2 linked regions of the Oryzias latipes genome follow. The protein of the gene in region 2 purifies or fractionates together with the protein of the main gene of each other region. This does not show direct contact. Links are inferred from orthologs where the notes say so. Each region holds a gene or a part of one and is shown on either strand. Other genes may lie near its edges. The genes, in order: wdr59 and cytosolic arginine sensor for mTORC1 subunit 1.

Region 1 (11,422 bases), on a different chromosome or scaffold from region 2:
ATAGTGTTTAGCGTTAGCTGTAGTGTTTAGCGTTAGCCGTAGTGTTAAGCGTTAGCATATAGTGTTTAGCGTTAGCCGTAGTGTTAAGCGTTAGCCGTAGTGTTTAGCGTTAGCAGATAGTGTTTAGCGTTAGCCGTAGTATTTAGCGTTAGCCGTAGTGTTTAGCATTAGCCGTAGTGTTTAGCGTTAGCCGTAGTGTTTAGCGATAGCCGTAGTGTTTAGCGTTAGCCGTAGTGTTTAGCGTTAGCCGTAGTGTTTAGCGTTAGCAGATGGTGTTTAGCGTTAGCAGATAGTGTTTAGCACTAGCCGTAGTGTTTAGCATTAGCATATAGTGTTTAGCGTTAGCCGTAGTGTTTAGCGTTAGCAGATAGTGTTTAGCGTTAGCAGATAGTGTTTAGCGTTAGCAGATAGTGTTTAGCGTTAGCAGATAGTGTTTAGCGTTAGCCGTAGTGTTTAGTATTAGCAGATAGTGTTTAGCGTTAGCAGATAGTGTTTAGAGTTAGCAGATAGTGTTTAGCGTTAGCCGTAGTGTTTAGCGTTAGCAGATAGTGTTTAGCACTAGCCGTAGTGTTTAGCATTAGCAGATAGTGTTTAGCGTTAGCCGTAGTGTTTAGCATTAGCCGTAGTGTTTAGCGTTAGCCGTAGTGTTTAGCGTTAGCCGTAGTGTTTAGAGTTAGCAGATAGTGTTTAGCGTTAGCCGTAGTGTTTAGCGTTAGCAGATAGTGTTTAGCACTAGCCGTAGTGTTTAGCATTAGCAGATAGTGTTTAGCGTTAGCCGTAGTGTTTAGCATTAGCCGTAGTGTTTAGCGTTAGCAGATAGTGTTTAGCGTTAGCAGATAGTGTTTAGCGTTAGCAGATAGTGTTTAGCGTTAGCAGATAGTGTTTAGCGTTAGCAGATAGTGTTTAGCATTAGCAGTAGTGTTTAGCGTTAGCAAATAGTTTTTAGCATTAGCAGTAGTGTTTACCGTTAGCCGTAGTGTTTAGCATTAGCCGTAGTGTTTAGCGTTAGCAGATAGTGTTTAGCGTTAGCAGATAGTGTTTAGCGTTAGCAGATAGTGTTTAGCGTTAGCAGATAGTGTTTAGCGTTAGCAGATAGTGTTTAGCATTAGCAGTAGTGTTTAGCGTTAGCAAATAGTTTTTAGCATTAGCAGTAGTGTTTACCGTTAGCCGTAGTGTTTAGCATTAGCCGTAGTGTTTAGCGTTAGCCGTAGTGTTTAGCGTTAGCAAATAGTTTTTAGCATTAGCAGTAGTGTTTAGCGTTAGCCGTAGTGTTTAGCATTAGCCGTAGTGTTTAGCGTTAGCCGTAGTGTTTAGCTTTAGCCGTAGTGTTAAGCGTTAGCCGTAGTGTTAAGCGTTAGCCGTAGTGTTTAGCGTTAGCCGTAGTGTTTAGCGTTAGCCGTAGTGTTTAGCGTTAGCCGTAGTGTTTAGCGTCAGCCGTAGTGTTTAGCATTAGCCGTAGTGTTAAGCGTTAGCCGTAGTGTTTAGCATTAGCAGTAGTGTTTAGCATTAGCAGATAGTGTTTAGCATTAGCCGTAGTGATGCAGCCCTTCCAGCCTGTCAGAACTAGGGTTCGCTTTGAGGGTTTGCTTTTTTCATTTTATTTCCCAACTAATGACTAATCCGCGATGATCCAGTATAAACTGAGGGAAGTGACTTTAACAAAAAAGTAACAAACAAAATAGAAAAGAAGTAGTCCGCTCCGCGGACTTACAGCTTTGTGTTTGATGGGAAGGGGGGGGGGGGGGGGTACATGAGCGGTATGTGTGGGAGATTTAAGACTGCGATCCGTCCCGCAGCTCTAGGGGTACATGCAACCGAACTCAGAACCGGGTCTAAAAGTGTGTGTCTGAGCACAGCTCGGATCGTCAGCACACACAGCGGTTTGAGCTTCAAAGCAGAAATGTCGCTCAGTCCTTAGAAAACATTCAAAAAATCACGCGGATTTGTGTTTCCAGTCGTGTCCCGACTAAATAAAGGCTGATGTTATTCTTACACGTTTACATGCAGCCAGCAAGCAGCACCACCCAAAGCTAATGTTGTTAGCCCGTGTTAGCATACTGCTAATCCTGGCTACGTTCAGAAAAAGCACTGACCACACGGATTAAAATTCAAATGATGAGCGAACAGGTGTTTCATAATAACCGTAACATTATTAAAAGCAGGTTTAGAAGATCGTCTCGTATATTACCGAGCTGGCATGTCAATGTATATAATAAAGTTTGAAAAAAAAAAAGCCGCTCGGCGGAATTTATATCCTTCCGGTTTTCAAACCCTACTGCGCATGTGCGAATGATTTATTCCGACGGAAAGTGTGACCTTAGTGAACGTTTTTATATTCTGAAAACATTTTTCTGGGCCCATTTACACGGTTGGATTCTAATCTGACCATTGATCCCATCAAGATATTTTGTACATGTAACCGCGGCTTATGGTGTCGACGCGCAACGTGGCGGGGGCGTGGCATCACGATGGTGGTCTCTCCATCGGGATGTCAGTCACCCATCACGATGGACGATGATATCGTCCATCGGCACAACCCTAGTCAGAACCACATTTGGTTGCTGCTCGTCTGCCGCTGGGGGGTCATCAGGGCGTCACCTGCTTTCTGCGGCCTCCACTGGAACTCTAGAACCACGTCGTCATGTCCGACGAAGGCGTGCACGGGGCTGTTCAGGTCGAGCGTGCTCCACAGCAGCAGGCTGTTCTCCCTCCGGAGCTGAGGAACCATCACGGTGACCAGCCCGTTGGAGAACGGCTGCAAACGGAGGGAAGCCGCTCATTCAGCTCGTTCAAACTTTTTTACACCTTTCTCTTTTTCTTAATCGCATTTTTAGATATCTGTCAGAAAAGATGCGTCTTTTTCCTGGACTTCCTGTGTTTGGGTTCCTCTCATGAGGTTCTCTGGACTAACCGTGTAGCGGGCTTTCCACACCGGTACCTGGCAGGACAGGATGTTCAGGTACTTCCTGGGCTGTCGGAAATCCCAGAACTGCACACAAAGTCAGCATTATTGCTCTCTGTGTCCTCAGGAGAACGGGTTCCGGTCTGGACGGGCGGCAGGTCTCACCCTCACGGAGTTGTCCTGACTGGACGTGGCGAAGACAAACTCGCCGTCCGGATGCCAGTCCAGGCCGTGGATCTTGGACAGGTGAGCGGCCACGTACTCCACCGCCGTGTTGGGCTTCTGTTCAGAGGAGACACCAGAAAGAGGAGCCAGCAGGAGTCACGGGGGGAAAAGACGCTAACGAGGTCAAAGGTGAACTAGCTCAAGTTCAGCGATTTCCTTCTGATTTGAATGAGCAGATGAGGGAACATTAGACTCCGCCCCTTTCTTCATCTTTCAGGCTGCAGGAAAACAAAAGGTTTGGACCTTCAGCCAGACTCACTCTTTTATCCCAGATCCGAACATCTCCGTCGTGGCTGGAGGCCAGCAGGTTCTGGTTCTTCCGGTTCCACTTCACCTGAGACGCCCCGGCTGCAGAACACAGACATCCGTTCAGAGACAGACCCGAGACCGACCCGGTTCAGGTCAAGCATCCAGATTCTCTCACCGACAGCAGACAGCGCCACCGTGGGTTTACGGGCGTCTCTGCAGAGAAGCAGGCAGAATTAGGGGGAGGGGGGGTCAGGGTCAGATTAAGGTGTGTGTGTGTGGGGGGGGGGGGGTCCCACTGACCTGGTGTCCCAGATGTAGATGTACGTGTCCACAGAGCTGGTGACCAGGAGCTCCGGGTCGAACCAGGACCAGTCCAGATCACTGAGGACACAAACGGGCCAGAGTGAGACCGACCCGGTTCACCTGCAGACAGGTGCATCTGCGTCACCGCTCTACCTGATGACGCGGGTGTGTCCCTGCAGGGAGGAGTGGGCCTCGCCACAGCCGTCCCTCCAGGAGTACAAGTCCACCCGCTGGTTACTCTGGAGCACAAACACACACAGGGTTCAACAGAGATGGCGTCTGGAGTGGACAGCTTTGTCTGATGAACACAGGAGAACCTGAACGCCTCGTTTATGGTCGACACACAGAATCTCTGCTCTTCCATCAGAACCACTCCGCTCCTTTGTTCTAACAGAACCTGCTGCTTCACATGCGCATCTCCCTCATTTTCAGCTCTCTGGGTTTCTGATCATGTGACCTTGAACAGCAGAACTCACCGAGGCAGCGAAGATGTGGGCCTCCGAGCCGTGGGGGTTCCACTGGACCGTCCCCACGTCCCATTTACTGTGGCGCCCGATTTTACGCGGTGGTTCCGACGGCGCCTCCAGATCCACCAAGTAGAGGAAGCGGCGGCTGCAGGTCAAAACAACAACTCCCATCATGCAACATTCTAGATCAGACCCACTAAACTGAGCTGTGACGGTGCGTTCAGGTTACGATGCGTTCAGGTGACGGCGGCTTACCCGGACAGAACAGCGTGAGAACCCAGGCAGTCCACAGACATGGCTGTGGCCTGAAACAGAGAACAGGCTGCACCGTTACCGCGGCGACGGGGTGCAGACTCTAAACGCACAGCTACACAGCACACACTAACAAACACACACGCATGAGGACAACACTCCTGTCATGTGACGCTGAAACCCCAGCAGGAAAATCAACTATAATATTATCAAAATCAATTTATAATATTATGGGATGTAAACCAATGCATAGATCATAGAGTCTACATTTTTATCATTCTACTATAATATTTTGATTATGAAAAGATGAATTCCAAACAGTTTCAGCCTCATTTTCACAGAAAACAAACATTCAGAATTTCTTTAAGGATAAAACTGGTTCAGTATTTTAAAAGTCACTTCTGTAGATTTATGTAGGACAGGATTTGAGAAAATGGGATTCTCTGATGTCATCATTCTGCAGCACCGTTTTTATTGGAGAAGAAAAAGTTCACAAAATGTCTCAAAAATTGTTTGAATGTTTTTAATCACAAAACTGAATTTCTTCACCGCAAAGCGGAGCTTTATTGTGAAATATGTTTGCTCGTTCAGCCTTTCTTCCTGTAGGAACAGGAACGGTTCCTCCAGTGTTAGTGTGGGAAACTGATGTAGAAACATTTCAGCTCAGCGTTCATCTGAACAGGCCCTGATAAAACACGGAGTACTTAGGAATATGAAAGATCAGAAATACTTTACAGTTTCTGCTTTTTCACTTTTGGATGCTGGTGTGAGATTTTTATCAAGGACAAAGTGTAACTTGACTCAAACAAGGTGGAAAAACACTGAGTTACTCTATTACATTATTTTAAGGGTTACTCCATTACTTACTTTTATGAGTTACTATACTACTTTATTTTATGAGTTACTCTATTACTTTATTTTACGAGTTACTTCATTACTTTTTTAAGAGTTACTCTATTACTTTCTTTTAAGAGTTACTCTATTACTTTTTAAGAGTTACTCTATTACTTTTTAAGAGTTACTCTATTACTTTTTTAAGAGTTACTCTATTACTTTCTTTTAAGAGTTACTCTATTACTTACTTTAAAGAGTTACTCTATTACTTTATTTTAAGAGTTACTCTATTACTTTCTTTCAAGAGTTACTCTATTACTTTCTTTCAAGAGTTACTCTATTACTTTCTTTCAAGAGTTCCTCCCAAACAGTCACATCTCTGCAGCCAAATGCTGTCTGACATCATTCTATCACATCTTTACACATAGTCCATGTTTCCTCTGCAGTAACTAAAGCCTAATATTCGACTTTTTACAACAATCTTACAGCTGTGTGGATATTTATGGGCTGTAGTAAATACTTCATCAGTTTTCCGCTTCGTCCAGAAGCTTCAGAGAATCGATCCATCCACTCTAATACTTTCAGAATTTGGTCTTCATTTTGTTAAGAACAGCGTCTGCTGACTAGTTTATTCCTGATATCGTCTGGAAAACGTGTTTTCCTACTAAAGTTTTGGATCAAGAACAGCTCAGCTGCTGGGATCAGGGGGGTATTCCAGGAAGCATGTTTAAACTAGCCTGACTTTAAGCCTGAACTCTGGCTGAAATCCGCCTGAACTTGCTTACTCTGGGTATGTCGGTTCCAAAAGACCGGATATGAGTTGGCGTAATTACGCTCGACTTGGTAACCCTGGGTTAACGCACGGTACATAAAGACATTCTCAATAGATCGCCGATTTCTGGAGTCACCATGGAAACGCGTGGAGAAAAAAAAAGAAAGCGCGACACTTGAGACGGAGTCTGAGATTTTAATGACGGCGGATAGAAATTATAAGTCCATCAAAAAAGTAACACGGCTGAAAGATAATTTAGTTAAATTTATTCAAACTCAATAATTGTTTATACAACTCAAATTTACGTATTTATCTAACTAAATGTCACATTACTCCATTAATCTTTTTTCCATCTTAATTACTTATATTTCTTGAACTTTCATATGTCTAAGTTTGAGCCGGCAGATATGCTCATTTTTATAACAATAAAAAGAAACGGAAAAAAATGCACCGAGTGCAAAAACTCACTAAAGAATTTCCCGTCACTGTCATAACAGTACTTAGCTGTAGGGGTGCTAAATAAACTCATCATCCTCTCCTTCACTCTCACTCATGGTGCAGAGACGTAAGCATAGTAGGACAAATTGGCTCGGCCAAACACGAAGAAACACAGTAAAACAGCTATACAACTAAAACATTTGGTCAAAAAGCCACACTTTAACCCAAATCCGTCCAGACAGGCAAAGGGAATGATTTCCCACAATCCCTTGCGGTGCCGATCTAACAGCAGCATCAAAGTTACACCTACTTAATTGAATTAATTTGAACGAAAGGAAAATAACTGTCTGAAAACTACGTGTTATTTTTAACAAAAAAATTTCTAACAAAAAAAATGATTTATCTTAACTGAAGCAAATAATGAAGTTAGATCAAAGTATAAAGTTTATCTTTCCAACATCCATTTGTGGTCTTATCACCCTCTCATGGTGGAAAAAGTATTATCTGAGCTTCTTCATCCACTAAATCCTCTTCAAATGGACACGCCATGCTGCTTCACCTCTCTGAAAACAAACTAACCTTCAACTAAACCTGCTCCAGACCAGGTTACGTTCAGAGCATGAGTTGCCATGGTAACTTGACCTACCCTGAAACATACCTCCATTTCTGGAACCAAAAGCTGAGGTTATCAACTTCCTTAGCCTCAAACTTATCGTGGGAGCTAGCATAACCTGCTTTCTGGAATACCCCCCAGCAGTAGAGGAGAGAATAATTACTAAACACAAAAAAGCGGCTTCAAAGAAACCGCCTGCCGTTCAGTCCAGACCACGTGACAAACGTATTTCTACTTTAACAAACGGATAAAATGTGACAAAATTGTCAGCAAATCTGTTCTAAAGTCAGAGAAAAACAAAGAAACGTCAGATAAAGACCAAAGCGACACCTGAGCGTCCCGGAACTCCACCACCACATTCTCGCTGCTCCAGCGCGCCGCCATCTTCCTTCCCTGTCAACAAATGTCACGTGACCCGAAGGAGCCGGATGTAGAAAAAACCAACAACACAAGCATATCAGGTTTAAGGATTCCCCCTAAAAAGATGTGCATGGATTAATAAACACGTGAAAAACCTGAAACAGTAAATGTTTATTTTTTGGTTAAATCAATTAATCTTTATGTTTTCGTTCATTTTGGCTTTTATGTTTTTATTCATTTATTTATTAAATTTGACTTTATTTTGTTAAGCTTTTAATGTACAGAGTTTTATTTAGATTTAATTGTGTTAAACTGCTCTATAAATAAACTTGATGAGGAATCTTTTTCCTGATCAACCTTTTTTAATTTTCTCACTTCAATCTAGAATAATGTTAACGTTCTAATTATACACAATCTCAGAAATAAATTCCTGAAATTTCCTTTTGTTTTTGCTTAGATCTGTGGAAATCTTCACATTTCCACAACTGCAAAACATTTTTATTTCTAAATAAAAATACAGTTTAACTTGAAAAAACATTTTAAAATTTTTCGTCAAAGCTGAACAATATTTGAAATTGCAAAACAATTCGGTGATTTTAAATACTGAATTCTCCGAAGAGGCAGTGAAGGCATCACCATGGTAATCAAAGCCGGTCACGTGGAAGCCAACCTCACTTTCCCAGTGCGCTTGAAAGCTCGAGGCACGTGACAGCCGTCTGCCCTGTGATTGGTCGTTGATGTGGCTGCTCGTTTACCAAGATGGCGCCGACCCTGGTGGAGCATGTTGTCGCTGACGCCGGTGCGTTTCTGAAGAGAGCACCTCTACAGGTGAGAACACGTGATCCGCGGACAGGTGAGAGGGTGTGCAGGTATTTGGGAGATGCCGCGAGACCGGAATGTGGGTGTGGGGGGTGGGGGGGCATCGGCGTGTCCGGATCTGAGGCCCTGATCTGTGATCCAGGAGATCGGAGCGAACATCTACACGCTGCGGGATGTGGTGGACGAGATCCGGGACAAAGAGACCCGGAGGAGCCTGGCTGTGCTGCCGTACCAGCTGCACTTCAGGGAGCCGCATCCGGAGCACGTCAGACACGGTGACACCTGAACGCACCACGCGCGCACCAAAACATGGCACTTTACTCAGCTGTAACCATTACACAGACCGCACCTGAACGCACCACGCGCACCAAAACATGGCACTGACCCCGCCCCTTTCGACCGTTGTCATGGAGATTAATGCTGAGTGTGAAATTTTTGAGGCTTTGAATTTTTTCACCTCCATGATGAAAAATTTTATCAGAGGTCATCTGCCATGAAGGAGGCAGATGACCTCTGACCTCTGGTGTCCTCTCTGACCACGCCCACTGACCGCTCCGTTGGTCAGTGGTGCAGATTGACAGCTGTTGGGCTGCTGCTCAGCTGGGGGACATTTTCTGAGCTGGCTGGGTTTGTTGATTCTTTCCCGTCTGACGTTCTCCAGTGACCGAGTTCTCCAAGAAGACCGGCGACTACCCGAGTCTGTCCGCCACCGACATCCGCGTTCTGGCTCTGACCTACCAGCTGCAGCTGGAGCACGAGGGGGCGGAGCACCTGAGGGAGGAGCCGCTGCTGCAGGTGAACATCCAGAGCACGCCGCGCCACCCCGAGACTCCGGTCAACGTCCCCGGCTTCCACTTTCCCTCCAAGGTAAGGAGCGTTTGGGCCCCCGGCGGCGCCGCAGACGTCTGGATCTCCTCAGGAGCTCGTCTGCTTGTCTCCCCCTCCTCCTCAGAAGGCGACAGAAGCTTCAAACACACAGACTCACGACCACAAAGACGGCGAGAGCTTCAACAGCTTCCAGTTCTGGAGGGAACCCGTGGCGCCGCTCGACAACGACCTGCTGGCGTCACTGGTGAGTGTCAGCAGGTGGCGCCGCCTGGGGGCCTTGTGGGTTTTGTCAGCATGAGGTGTTGCTCCTTCAGGGTCCGGAGGAGGAGTCACATGACGGACGGAGCGAGGCGGCGGACGGAGAGCACTTCAACAGCTTTCAGTTCTGGAGGGAGCCGACGCCCATCATCAGCGACGAGCTGCTGGCCCTACTGGTTAGTGAAGGTTACCACGGGGGGCCACGCCCCCAACTCCTCCTCCAGTAAGGTGTGTCCTCCTCACAGGATGAAGGCGGAGCCTCTCGGTCAGACCCTTCAGCTGAAGACCGGTCGGATGACGAGGATAAAGAGAACGAACCAGAGGAGGAGGAGCCTGACGGCGGGGGCTGGATCACTCCCAGTAACATCAGACAAGTCAAGATGGAGTCTGCTGATTGGACGGCTCCTGCTGATGTCACAGTTGGATGTTTGACCACCGACTTCGCCATGCAGGTGCGTACTGGTTCTGGTGGAGAATTTAAAAAAAGGAGTTCCTGAATGAGCGTTCCGGTTCTGTCTGCGCGGTTCTGCTGGTAAAGTGCAGATGAGGTCTCCAGAACACTGTCCAACCTGTGTTTCCAGAACGTTCTGATCCAGATGGGCCTCCACGTCCTCTCCGTCGGCGGGATGGTGATCAGACAGGCGAGGAACTACATCCTGAGGTGTCACGCCTGCTTCAGGTGAGCGCCCCGCCCACACAAACCCACCGAGGACGGCGGCGCCGGGTACTGAGGCGGGCCTCTGTCTGCAGGACGACCAGCAGCATGGCGAAGGTGTTCTGTCCGCACTGCGGGAACAGAACCATGAAGAAGGTGGCGGTGACGCTGAACGATGACGGAACCACCAAGATGCATTTCTCCAGAAACCCCAAAGTTCTGAACTCCAGAGGACTGCGGGTGAGAGGCGGGGTGGGAGGGGCCTATGTGGTTGGAAGTCATGTGACCTGCTTGTGTTTGCGCCGCAGCACTCTCTGCCGCTGCCTCAGGGGGGGAAACACGGAGACAACCCCCACCTGGTGGAGGACCAGCGCTTCCCCCAGCAGCGCCTCTCCAGGAAGGCCCGGCAGAAGACCGACGTCTTCGACCCGGACTACGTGGCGGGATCCTCCCCCTTTAGCCAGAACGACGTCTACAGCCGCGCTGCCAACCTGCAGATCAGAGACGGTCAGTGCGGTGGCGGCAGGAGGCGGGCCAACCCCAACGCCGCCCGCAAAAAGTTTGTCAAGAAGAAGTGATGGAGGTTCAGTCCGTTTGAGCAGAACCAGAACTTTCCGCAGTCCAGCGGGTTGTGTGTAACGTCGTGTCCTAATAAACTTCAGACATTACAGGCTGTGTGGGTCACAGGGGGCGGGGCTAAAATCTGTAACAGAACCTTCACTTCCTCCTGAGCCGGGTCACAGACCCGGGTCTGTTCAGCGAGTGTCCACCAGGTCCGTCTTTAGCCACCGAGTCGTGACGGTCCAGCGACTCAGCTGGACGTGGTCAGTCATCCGTGTGCCCCGCCCATTTCTGAAGGCATCACATCCTGCCAGGATGGGGACGCCACAGAGATGAGAAATACCTGCAGAGGCGTCACACGACCACGAGCCTCTGCGGTTTACCATCGGAAGGTTTTTCTGAATCCGTCGATGTTTTAGGTTGAGGTTATTCGCACGGCGTCTGAGAAAGATCGCCAACATGAAACAAAGGTTGAAACAGTAAAAGGTAAGAACCCATGAGAACACGAGATCAAAGCAAACCCAGTTGTAGTTCAGAGGAACCCATCACATGACCCGGGAGGGATTCTGGCCCACAATCCTTTCCATCGGTCATTCAGTTCCGCCGACAGAGGCGTGGCTGCCGGGACGTCCAGACGCATCGACACTGGAGGGAGCGGGGTTCGAACGGCTGACCTGCTCAACCACCTGAGCCACTACCGCCTTTGCCAAGTCGCCTGTAGCGAGTTCAGTAAGTCTGAGAACACGCTGCCTGTGGCACAGCGCCCCCCCGTGGCGTTTGGAGGAACTACAAGGTTTGCTTTGCTGGGATCACAAAGGATCAGAGGGCGGGGCTTGTTGTGAACGCAGATGATCCAGTTGGATCTGGGATCTTCACAGCGAAACCA
Region 2 (10,913 bases):
TCCAAAATGCAAAACCAGCAAAGACAATAATCCACTCATCGAAAGGATCCCACACTCAATCTTTCTCTCTGATGTGAACCAAAATGAGCTGATATCAATTGTAGATAAATTCAAGAGTAACAACTCCAAAGATTGTGAAGATATAGATATGAAGGTGGTGAAAAAGGTAATTATTAGTATCTCTAAGCCTTTAACAGACATGTAACTTATCATTACAAACTGGGAGATTCCCAAACCAAATGAAAATTGCAAAAGTGATTCCGATCTATAAGAGTGGAGACAAACACCAATTTACAAACTATAGACCTGTCTCTCTTCTTCCACAATTCAATCATTTTAGAAAAAATATTGACAAATATAACTTTATAAATGAAAACTATCAGCTATCATTGATGCTGTGGAGGAAATCACAAATGCTCTGGACAAAAAGAAATATGCAGCTGGAATTTTCATTGACTTAAAAAAAGCATTTAACACTCTCAACCATGACATCCTACTTGACAAACTGGAAATGTATGGGATAAGAGGAATAGCGCTAACTTGGGTCAAAAGCTATTTAACGGGAAGAAAACAATTTGTCAAGATGAATCAGAAACCAAAGAGATAAGTTGTGGTGTCCCACAAGGATCAATCCTGGGCCCGCTACTATTCAATATTTACATAAATCTTCTTTTTCTTTCGGCTTTTCCCATCAGGGGTCGCAACAGCGAAACAACCACTCTTTCGAATATAAGTTGCATGGTTAACTTGGCAATGTTTTATGCCGGATGCCCTTCCTGATGCAACCCTCTCAATTTATCCGGGCTTGGGACCGGCACAGAAGCAGAGAAGGGAACACGGAGCAACCCGGATTCGAACCCTGGTTCCGCGGACGGAAGGCGCCGCAAACCAGCACGAGCTAAACTGGCTCCCAGGTATTCAATATTTACATAAATGATATGTATTTAATGTTTCAAAGCTTATGAAACTCACTTTGTTTGCTGATGACACAAACATATTCTATTGTACACATAATCATATGGAACTTATCAATGTGGTAAACACAGAGTTAAACAAAATAAAATTATGGATGGATTACAACATATTATCTTTGAACCTAGATAAAACCAAAGTGATGTTTTTTGGAAACGCAAATAAAGAGCTCTCAATTGAAATAAATAATATCTTAATTGAAAGTGTTACAGAAATCCAATTCTTAGGGGTTGTTATCGATGACAAACTAAAGTCTCAATAAGTATTTCAATCGTAAATAAATCTAAATTATATTAGAATACAACAGTAGATATTTATTGTACTGTTCTTTAATACTACCATATTTCACCTACTGTATAGAAATTTGGGGGAATAATTTTAAGCGCTCACTACATCCTCTCTTTCTACTTCAAAAACGTCAGAGTTGTACATAAAGCCGGATATCTTGATCAAATAAACAATTTATGTTATCAATCTAGACTTTTAAAACTGTATGACCTTGTGGATTTTTACACTGCACAACTTTTATACAGAGCCAGTGGGAAATCGTTACCATTCAATATCCAAAAACAGTTCTTAGAAAATGAAGGAGGAACAAACTGAGGGGATGTAGGAACTTTAAGATCAAACTGATAAGAACCACTAAGAAAAGTTTCTGTGTGTCGGTGTGTGGCACTAAACTTTTGAACGGGTCAAGTAATGAGCTTAAACAATGTTCAAATATCCAAATATTCTATAGTGTTTATGTAAAATAATTCTAACATCTTCAGAGCTATTGAGGATTTTTGACCAAATCTGATCCATTTGTAAATATGAAAAATTCCTGAAAATAAACAAATTGAAATATTGACATATTCTTTATTTTAGTATGACAATAAGTTCATGATTAGACCGTCCAGAAGGTTTGGTGACAGTAGCTTCAGTATCTTCATAACTATTGATAACTTTAGTCATGATTCATATCTATTAAAATTTGAAAAAGTATATGCAACAAGATAAAATAAAGATGGACCTTCCGACAAAATATTTATTGTGACACGAATATACTGACGAGTCTTCATTACCAGTTCATATAAATATAGAAATTTATTCTTTTTTGTGAGATTATTGATTTTTACAGAATGGTGTTTCACAGAGTTTGCACTTTGTTGACGGTCCCTTGGCTTGCTGCCCTTTCTGCATTCACAGCTTGAAGCAAACAATTCTGATTAACAGGCAAAAAAAAAAGAAGGTCTTTTTACTTTAGAAATGCATTTGCGGTTCACTCTCTGAGTTAATACAAAAGGATTGAGATACTTGCTGACACATTTGAACGTTTATCAGAAGAGTTATTGAGGCCGGAAGTCCTAATCTGTGAAGATCTTTCTAACTTTATCAAACCTCAGCTGCAAGAGAATTTAAAATGATGAATCCATGGTTCGCAAGTGAGACTCTGGAAAACCAACTCCGACAAGACAAGAAGACGCAGCAGCAGCTGAGTTTCCGCGGAAAAGGAAAGGCCTGTGTTGGAAGATCGACTCGAGGCTGAGCGCAGCAACTTCCAGCAGATGACAGTGAAAAGCTGTCCATCCTCCCCCCTTTTACTGGGACGCAGCGCCGGCGAGTTACGCCACACTTTGGGACTGCAACTAAAGCTGGGGCTGACGCGTCTGCTTTCACTGTTCTTTGGAGCCGCACGGCAACGAGACGGACTCTGACGATGACGTAGCTGGAAGCTGGTGTGTTTGATAGAAATTAAGCCCAGCTGACTTTGATGGATTTGTGGATGCTGATTGATGACTGAAAAAATGAAAAATAAATCACAACCAACTCAGTTTTGCGCTCGCTGCCTTTTTAAAACACACACCAGCATGCATGTTTTACTGGTATGTGTTAACGTTAAATACAAAAAAAAAAACACCCATAACTAACTGAAACAGTGCAGTTTAATCCAGTGCCGTTGTATTGTAAGGAGAGGAGTGTGTTATGGGAAATAATATGGCTTTAATTGCGTGTTTGTGTTTCTGGCAGGTCAGTGCGTGGTGTGACTCTTTGACTATCACAGTTAAAAATGTCGGCTCTTTGTGTCAAACTTGTTCGCCACCCCTTGTTAGTGTTAGAGGCTTTAAAAAAAAGGCGGATGTAACGTGGATTAAAACCTTAACCAACGACCCAAGACCAAGGTAAGAAAGTGCGGCTGGTTTTTTTGTGCTGCAAGTTTTTCTCATGTGTAAATCACTGCATTTGTTACCGTTTTAATCCTTTTAATCCACGTTACAGTCTTTTCTATTAAAGCCCCTAAAAGAAAGTCCTGCCTCGCTGGACATGACATGTAAATTTTAGCTAATCAGATCAACCAGAAAGGTTACTGCCCCCAAGTGACAAAAACGGCCCCTTAACACTGAGCGTAAATCCTGGTGAGGGCGCAAAAAGGAACTGACCACGCAGGATCCCCGCTCAGTGATTTGTTTTTTTTTGTTTTTTTAACTTGTCCTGTCCAACAGCTAGGCAGGCAGATGAGAGCTGAGGGCCTCTTGTGTTGGAAATATTTTACTTTAACAAGAGGGGTTATTAATCTTCAGACAAACCAAAGGTATGTCTGAATAAACCCCTTTTGTAATTGAGGCCAAACTTTATTAATTTCAATCATGTTTGAAAATCTTTGGTGTTGGACCGGACGGAAAAGGAAAGAGGGGAAGAAGAGAGAGGGACGTCAGAGAGAGGGGGGGGGTAGGGGGTGATAATAGGGGGGAGGGGGGGTAAGACCATGAAGCAGCATAAAGCAACAAGTTTACTGGTTGTTTATCATTACGGTACGGTTCAAATGTAGTACAAAAAGGGCGGGGCCTGTCCACACACACACTCAAATGTTATCAACACACCTGCTTGCTGCAAAAATGTCCACCTGTCGACAAGTCAACATGTACACAAAACAGACAGTGCCCGCACGCACACCCATGCCCCAAAACCAACTAGTGTGAAACACCTCACCCATTCCATCACGCAAACCACTAGTGCAAAGGCGAGCCAACACCCGCGCCCAGGCGAGCGCCCACGCTCCTCCAAAATGGATGGTGGAATGCGAAAAGAAGGAGGGAGAGCCCCGCTCAGTTATAATTGCAGGCCTGCAGTTGTAAAATGCTGGGTCGCTCGGGTAGTATTGCGCCTCCGCGGTTGTAAGGTTCACTCAATCACTTCCTGAATACGCCCGCTCAGTTGTCTTTACGCCCTTTTACTTTATGGCAGAGATGAAACGCCATACACACCGTCACAGCTCTATTCCAAACAGTGCCTGTGATGCGGCAGTAACACGGCAGCAATAAGGGAGTAACAGCACTAACAGGGCTGGTTAAACAAACATACCGGTAAAAGTCACTGAGAGCAGCAGTAACTTATACGGGTCTGCACGGCACGCGCCTTCTGTGCACTAAAACCATGGAAGTCTTCCTCCTCAGTGTAGGATTGGAACTTTAACTTGAAAATAAGCCGCAGGGTTGAAAGCGTGTGACAAAAATAGCGGTTTATAATCCGGAAATTATGATAAATATGTCAGAATGGTCGCTTAATGTGTGTATTTTTACTGGATGTTCGAAAAAAATAAATAAATGTTTTGAATTACCACCCATTTTTAAAACAGCAGACCAGAGTCAGCAAAACAACAAATAATGTCACTTGAAACTATGTCACACTCAAACTTTTTTATGTCAACTTCCTGGTTAACTTCAGCAGTAAACAAAACAAACATTGTTGATTTGGGCCTTTGACAAGAAATCCTGAACATGCTTTCATGACATTTTGTATTCTATTTTTATTCTAATCTATTTAATCCATTTTATTCTCTGAACATATTTCAGTAAACTGAACCTCGGTCTTCATCCACACTTAATAAGAGATTTATTTACTTCCCGTGTTTAGTTTATGTCTTTAAAATCCAACATTATTCTCCATTTTGGAGTGATAATTACATAGCATTAAGTGCCTTTCTACAACACTCCATTAGATCAAACTTCTCTTTTTTTTCAGCTAAAACCGATGCGTTTCAGTGGTAAGGCCCTCAGATTAGAGTCATTTCAAGACAACGTTGTGGGCAGAAGATGCCAGTTGTGACGGAGAACACCTTCAGAAACCACAATCAGAAAAAGGAAACCAACCATCCATCACGTAAGAATCATTAAAAGACCTTTTACTGAAGCAGTGTAGACTCCAGCAACCTACTTTTTTATGTCGACTGGATTGTGTTAAAAACAGAATGATAACAATAATAATAATTTATTTATAATGCAGCTTTCATTAAACATTACCTCAAAGTGCTACAACAAGATGTGAGAAAAAAAAGAACACTAAATAAAAATTAGCCAACTAAACAAAGCTAACTAAAAGCTAAAAAACTAGCACTTAACAATAAGGGTGTGACGGTAACCGCATCACCGTGGTGATGTTTGCTTTTTAATTTTTTTTTTTTTTTTAGTTCTGCATATGGTGCGTGATTGGAACTATAATCAACACATTTAACACATTCATCTTTGCTGATAATTCACTTTTTCTACTAGTCCTATGTGTTCAGACTTCAAAGGTTTCTGGGGGAAACTTTTCATTACTGTTCTCCTTCACTCCGTAACACCAAACATGAACACGCACTGTTAGAGTGCGATAAACATCACTACATGTTTTGTTTGGAAACTATTTTGTGCAGCGCAACGTTACGTGTCCGTATAAACAAAGGCGGAGCCTCCTGCCCCGCCTTCTTCATGGGTGTCAGGCTCACGGCTACTGGAAAGGTGACAAAGTGTCTGCTGTTTGGTATATTACTGGGCAATATATAATATTCTGAGAAGATGTCTGTACCAGAGAGCACAGGTGAAGCCTCGCGTGCAGCTGGAGAGCGATCCGCTGCAGAAGAATCAACACGCACCCCCAACACACTTGTGTGCGCTCCTTCCTCCAACACACGCAGCACGCTGACACACATACACAGTCATTGTACAACACCTATATGGTTAGTTCATTAGGTAGATAGGTAGTAGTGAGTTGTTACTGTTGTTTGTTAATAAAGAATACTGCGTTGTAATTGTATTCATTTGCGACGCGGCCACCGGGGGATTTTGTGTTTGGCGGTTAATCGCGACACCGCGCCCCCTGCTGGTTCATCACATCAAAAATCCCACACCGTCACAGCTCTACTTATTAAAGAGATGCCTTCAAAAGAGCTTTAAAAGAGTTCAGGGTCTGCGATGTTCTGAGATGTAAAGGAATGGAATCATTAAGACGGTGATGAAGCATGAAGAAATGTGTGTTTGGTTTTATCTTTTGGCACTCCCTTAATCATCCAGATGGTTTTAAATTCCTGCGGTGAGTGTAAAGGAGTTTCTCCTGTTGAACGGCAAAGGTACAGGAGTGGCGGTTTGATGGAAACTCACCAAAACGTGGTCGAAGCTGAAGGTACTGATGTAATAGGCAGAGATGTCGCCGTCAGCGAGAGGCTGCGATATCTGGGCGACGATGCCGCATTCATCTGGAAAGATAACACAAAATGAAGGAAAACGATGTCAGAAGAACTGAAATGAAACCATTTTCTTTACTTGAATAATCCATAAGGCAAACAAATATGGATATTGCACAGCTTGATAAATTTGTGATATATTGTGCAGGCCTAAAGGTTTCAAAGAATGCAGGCTGGAAGGTTGGCCCTCAGAACAAAGTCCAGACATCTACAGGCAACAACAGGTCGGTGGAAACCCAGAGAGCTCAGAGTGGAAGACGAGGACTTTCTTACCAAAACCAAGTGGCTGTCCTCCGATCCGGACCATTCTCCAAAGCTCCCCGGAGGAGCTGGTGAACAGAAGATCAGAAGGAAACCTAGAGGAATGAGAGAGAGAAGCTCCACTTCAATCAAATACAATTGATCATGAAATAGTAGAGGTAGAAACACCGACTCGCTTCGAGAACTAGTTCTTTGTCCTGACAAAACTCCACCAAGACGCTTTTATGTGAGGACTCATCTCTTTGAAGGACTTCACAGCAGTTTGCCGTCAGGCAGGAGAAAGTGAAGAGCCTTACTGTCGCTGGGCCTCAGAGTCCATCACCAGGGAGATGTATCCATCGATGAGGGAGAAGGAGAAGAACTTGATGCAGTCCAGCTCCTGGTCTGGAGATTCTTCTTTCGGACTAAAGGAGGAGAGGAGGACTGTTAAACAGAAACCTTCTTTGGTGACCGTTAAAGAGCTTTGGTGACACATCCATGAGTGGAAAATCTTTCTTTCACTAGAATTGATGAATAAGGGCAGCATTATTTCCCACCAAAGACTTTTAGACAAGCGTCTCGATGACGGCATCTTTTTCTGCTGCCGCCACACTAACCACATCTGGGTTGGGGCTTAGCGACGGTCGCACTCCGCCATCCTGTGGCTCAGACAGGTACTGCACGGCTGTGGGGGACGCAGCGTCTCACCTGCTGGAGTAAAAGAGGACGTCGATGAGCGTGGTGGCGATGGACGGCAGTGTGTCCGGGTCCAGAGACATGACACAGAACTGGTTCGGGGGGATCAGCACCGGGTGAACTGTCAGTTGGATGGCTGCAAAGGAAAAGGACAGTTACAAGATCATTTCAAAATAAACGCCATCAAATAATATAAATATATCTTTGGATATCAAAAAGCATTTTTATGCTTAAAAATGACAATTTTAAGGATCTTTTAGAATATTGGAGTAAATTAAAGTGGTTTAAAGGGGAGTCATCGACTTTTTTTTTTTTTTTAACCAGAAATACAACAGTTTGTGTGTGTTTTAATGTAAATCCATTCTCTTTTAGATGCAATCACAAAAGCTGATTCTGACATAGAAATGCATGGTTTGAAAACACAGCAAACATACATGTTCTAACCTTTCCATTTGTTATTTTTAAAAATGTTTTGAAAATCGATGACGAAACATGAAGCAAAGACTGTGATGATGCATGTTTGAATGCAGACAGCTACCACTGATAAAATGTATCATATATGGAAATGCTGGAACTTCCAAAGTAACTTCGTCATGCTCACTTGGATAAGGAAGTTTTAGCAAGAAAAAAAAAAAGTAGGAGAAATCTAAAAAAAAAAAAGAAGAAAAAAAGTAGAAAAACTGCAATCCTTCCATGTTTCGTGTTATGACTTGACAAACTGCAGCCGGCTCAGATCTGGTCTGAGGAAGCTGCAGAAGAGGCATCAAGCCACTGAGGAGGCTTCTGCACAACATTGACAGCAACCAAAAAGAAATAAATGATTGAGCAGTCACACAATCTTTGTGCACCAGATTCTCTTTTCTACAGTTGTAGCTTTTGGAACTTCTACAGAGACCACACGAACTACACCTGCAGGAAAGAGCAGTTAGTTCCATGTCCGCACACATTTTTTATAACTGATTCTTCGATGGAAAGACCATTAACAACCTTTTACACACAGATTGCTCCCTTCCAGTCTAAAAGAAGTGTTCCCCTAATTCCTTTAAACCAACTATTGCAACAAAATAAAAGCATGTGATTCGTGCTCAGTGGCTCCAGTCTATGTGCTCAGTTCAGTTGTTTCTGTGCAACCCTTTGCTGCACAATTTGGCTCAAAAAGCTGAATATTATGAACACACAAAGTGATAAATATTTACTCAACTGTGTGCTTTTAAACCATCCATGCACTTTAAATGAAAGACTTTTAAAAACTTATTTTATTTTTCTTTCTAGAAAGGTTCAAACTTTTTTGCAAGCTTTAATCAAACCTCAATCTGGTAGTTTTAACATTGGTTTGGGGGGAGTTTAGGGAGGGCACAGAGAAGGGCTGACAGTGCTGTACAACCAATCAGGCACTTTCCTTGAATTTACATAAGTATTTGCGATTTCTGTTTACATTTTTTCCCAAAAACGTGTGGTCAGCTTCAAACGTTTTTCCCCAAAAATGCATCTGAACTGCATTGTGCACCTTCTTTGCTGTTCTTCTGAAGGTTGTGTGTCACATCCTGGCAACGCACGGGGACGGACTCTCCCTCCACCTCCTGGTAAATGCTGAATTCTTCCTTTAAGGTGCTGACAACCACAGACAGGTCTTTCTCTCTCACCTGTACCCCAATCATTTGAGAGGAAAATTTTAATTACAAAAGATCTGTTTAAAAAAACCAAAAACACTTGAGTTTAATCATTAAAGTGATTGCTGACACAGGCGTGCGATGCATTTTTGCCCACCTAACATTTCTTGCATGTAATACATCAACCAACTTTGGAGTGTTTGTCAGCTCTGCTGGGAATTAATTATGTAAAATGCAAACACGGTGAATTCCTTTGTCTGGCAGCAGCTGAAAGACCGTCTGGAGGCATCAAAGGAAAAGTCTTCTGAATTAATTTTAAAAAAAGGAGGAAGAGGAGGTCTCTCACCAGGATGAAGTCAGTCTGATATGTGGACAGCATGAATACAGAGACGTGCTGTTGGGCCAGGGGAGCGATGACCGACTTGGCAATCTTGGTCACGCCGACCGCCTGGGAGCTGCTGGAGACGTTGCCGTTGGAGACCACGTTGAGTGGCAGCCAGGTGGAGCTCTCAACCTGGAGGTGCTCTGAGGGCTGCAGCTCTGAGGAAGAAGACATCAGTGGCCCAAAGTCAAACCCGTGCCGTGTATCTGAATGGTTTACATTCTAAAAAAAAATGCACTTAAAATACCAGCAGGGGGCGACTTATGGTCCTGAAAAAAAAATCCAATCAAAAGGGTTTTTGGTGTTTTGTGTTGGTGTTCTCGTAGCATTTTTCTCATGATGGCGGATATATTGAAAGAAAAAGAAGGTGAAAACTGCTTCCCTGAGGTCAAAGGTCAAACCAATATAGCAATACGCAGATAAAAAAACAGATTAGAAAACCTAGAAAGGTCAGCTGTGAAGGCACGGCAGTGGAGGAACACTTTGGCTCTAAAACGCTCAAAAATTCAAATTGAAATTAAACGTCAAATACAATTCTTTGGATGGCAGAATGAAGCTTTTTTCTTCCTACATACTTTACAATAATTCTGATCGTTTGTTATTCATTCAAACTAGTGATATTAATAAAATGATGGGTCAAAACCTGCAGATTTTGCATCCTATAAAAATGCTTTTCATGACCTGAAAAATGAAAAGTGGGCAGATTGAAACTGTGGGCTAAACAGCTGTTTATGGCTTTGTACCATGAAAACTTTGTAGTTTCTGTTTTCTCCTTCAAAGGGCCTCTCTTCTGGTTGGCACATTTCTTTTAAGGACAGCCTCTCATTCTACACAGCTTTCACCTCCTAAAATAGGAACTCGGAAGGAGAAAAAGGAGACCGACGCCTGCAGGCGACGCAAGCCTCAACATCTGAATCTGGAGGAAAGAATCAAGGTAAAAAAAGAGCAAACCGGAAGTGACTTGCATGTCGTCACTTTATGGGTTTTCATTGCCTTTATTTAACAACCAATTTAAAAAAAAAAAACTGTCATCCTGTGAAGAAAATGAAAATTGTGCAAAGCACAGTCTGTAGATCACTGCTGCACTTATTAAACCATAAAAACTCTAAAATGAATCACCAGAAGCAGAGAAACTGTTTCATAAACATTGTATTTGGTTCTCCTTAAATCCTATTTTCACAAAAGATAAACTCATTTTTTTGGAAAACAGTTTAAAATTCTTAGAAAAATATGTCAAAATACATGTTGCAGAAACTACATCAGTGAATTTCACCCACGGTTTTTACCAGAGCTCCAGTGAGGATGTTGCAGAAATGAACAGTTCATCCGTTATCTTTGTTTTCAGAGGCCAATTGAAAGCACTGGCACTTTTGTTATGATGCAGCGTTTTCTGTGATCCTGTTCTTTCAGCGAATCGGGTCACACTCATCCTGCCTGCAGGACGGGAGGAGGAAGGAAGTGCTGAAAACAAAGCTCGACGTTTTGTGGCCAAATCCAAGAAACGACGAGCAGACGCTCGGGATTTAGGACGACT

Evidence for each region.
Region 1: the proteins of cytosolic arginine sensor for mTORC1 subunit 1 (region 2) and wdr59 purify together in Homo sapiens (affinity purification with mass spectrometry; 3 studies listed by BioGRID and IntAct, counting the BioPlex papers as one, with this or other methods). This does not show direct contact. The link is inferred for Oryzias latipes from reciprocal best matches to the Homo sapiens genes CASTOR1 and WDR59.

What each region holds. Positions count from the first base shown.
Region 1 is NC_019861.2:37,926,972-37,938,393, forward strand, and holds the start of wdr59 (GATOR complex protein WDR59), read right to left. Parts: upstream 7,554-11,422; 5' UTR 7,440-7,553; coding exon 7,386-7,439; intron 4,452-7,385; coding exon 4,402-4,451; intron 4,292-4,401; coding exon 4,156-4,291; intron 3,919-4,155; coding exon 3,833-3,918; intron 3,758-3,832; coding exon 3,677-3,757; intron 3,590-3,676; coding exon 3,552-3,589; intron 3,476-3,551; coding exon 3,387-3,475; intron 3,185-3,386; coding exon 3,068-3,184; intron 2,990-3,067; coding exon 2,912-2,989; intron 2,756-2,911; coding exon 2,599-2,755; intron 1-2,598. Other genes in the region: RNA-binding protein NOB1, read left to right, coding at 8,175-8,243, 8,377-8,509, 8,896-9,101, 9,187-9,306, 9,377-9,496, 9,566-9,772, 9,902-9,999, 10,071-10,215 and 1 more. UniProt on the Homo sapiens protein: As a component of the GATOR2 complex, functions as an activator of the amino acid-sensing branch of the mTORC1 signaling pathway. The GATOR2 complex indirectly activates mTORC1 through the inhibition of the GATOR1 subcomplex.
Region 2 is NC_019867.2:3,164,296-3,175,208, forward strand, and holds part of cytosolic arginine sensor for mTORC1 subunit 1, read right to left. Parts: intron 9,538-10,913; coding exon 9,344-9,537; intron 9,031-9,343; coding exon 8,895-9,030; intron 7,524-8,894; coding exon 7,400-7,523; intron 7,117-7,399; coding exon 7,009-7,116; intron 6,808-7,008; coding exon 6,725-6,807; intron 6,464-6,724; coding exon 6,369-6,463; intron 1-6,368. UniProt on the Homo sapiens protein: Functions as an intracellular arginine sensor within the amino acid-sensing branch of the TORC1 signaling pathway. As a homodimer or a heterodimer with CASTOR2, binds and inhibits the GATOR subcomplex GATOR2 and thereby mTORC1.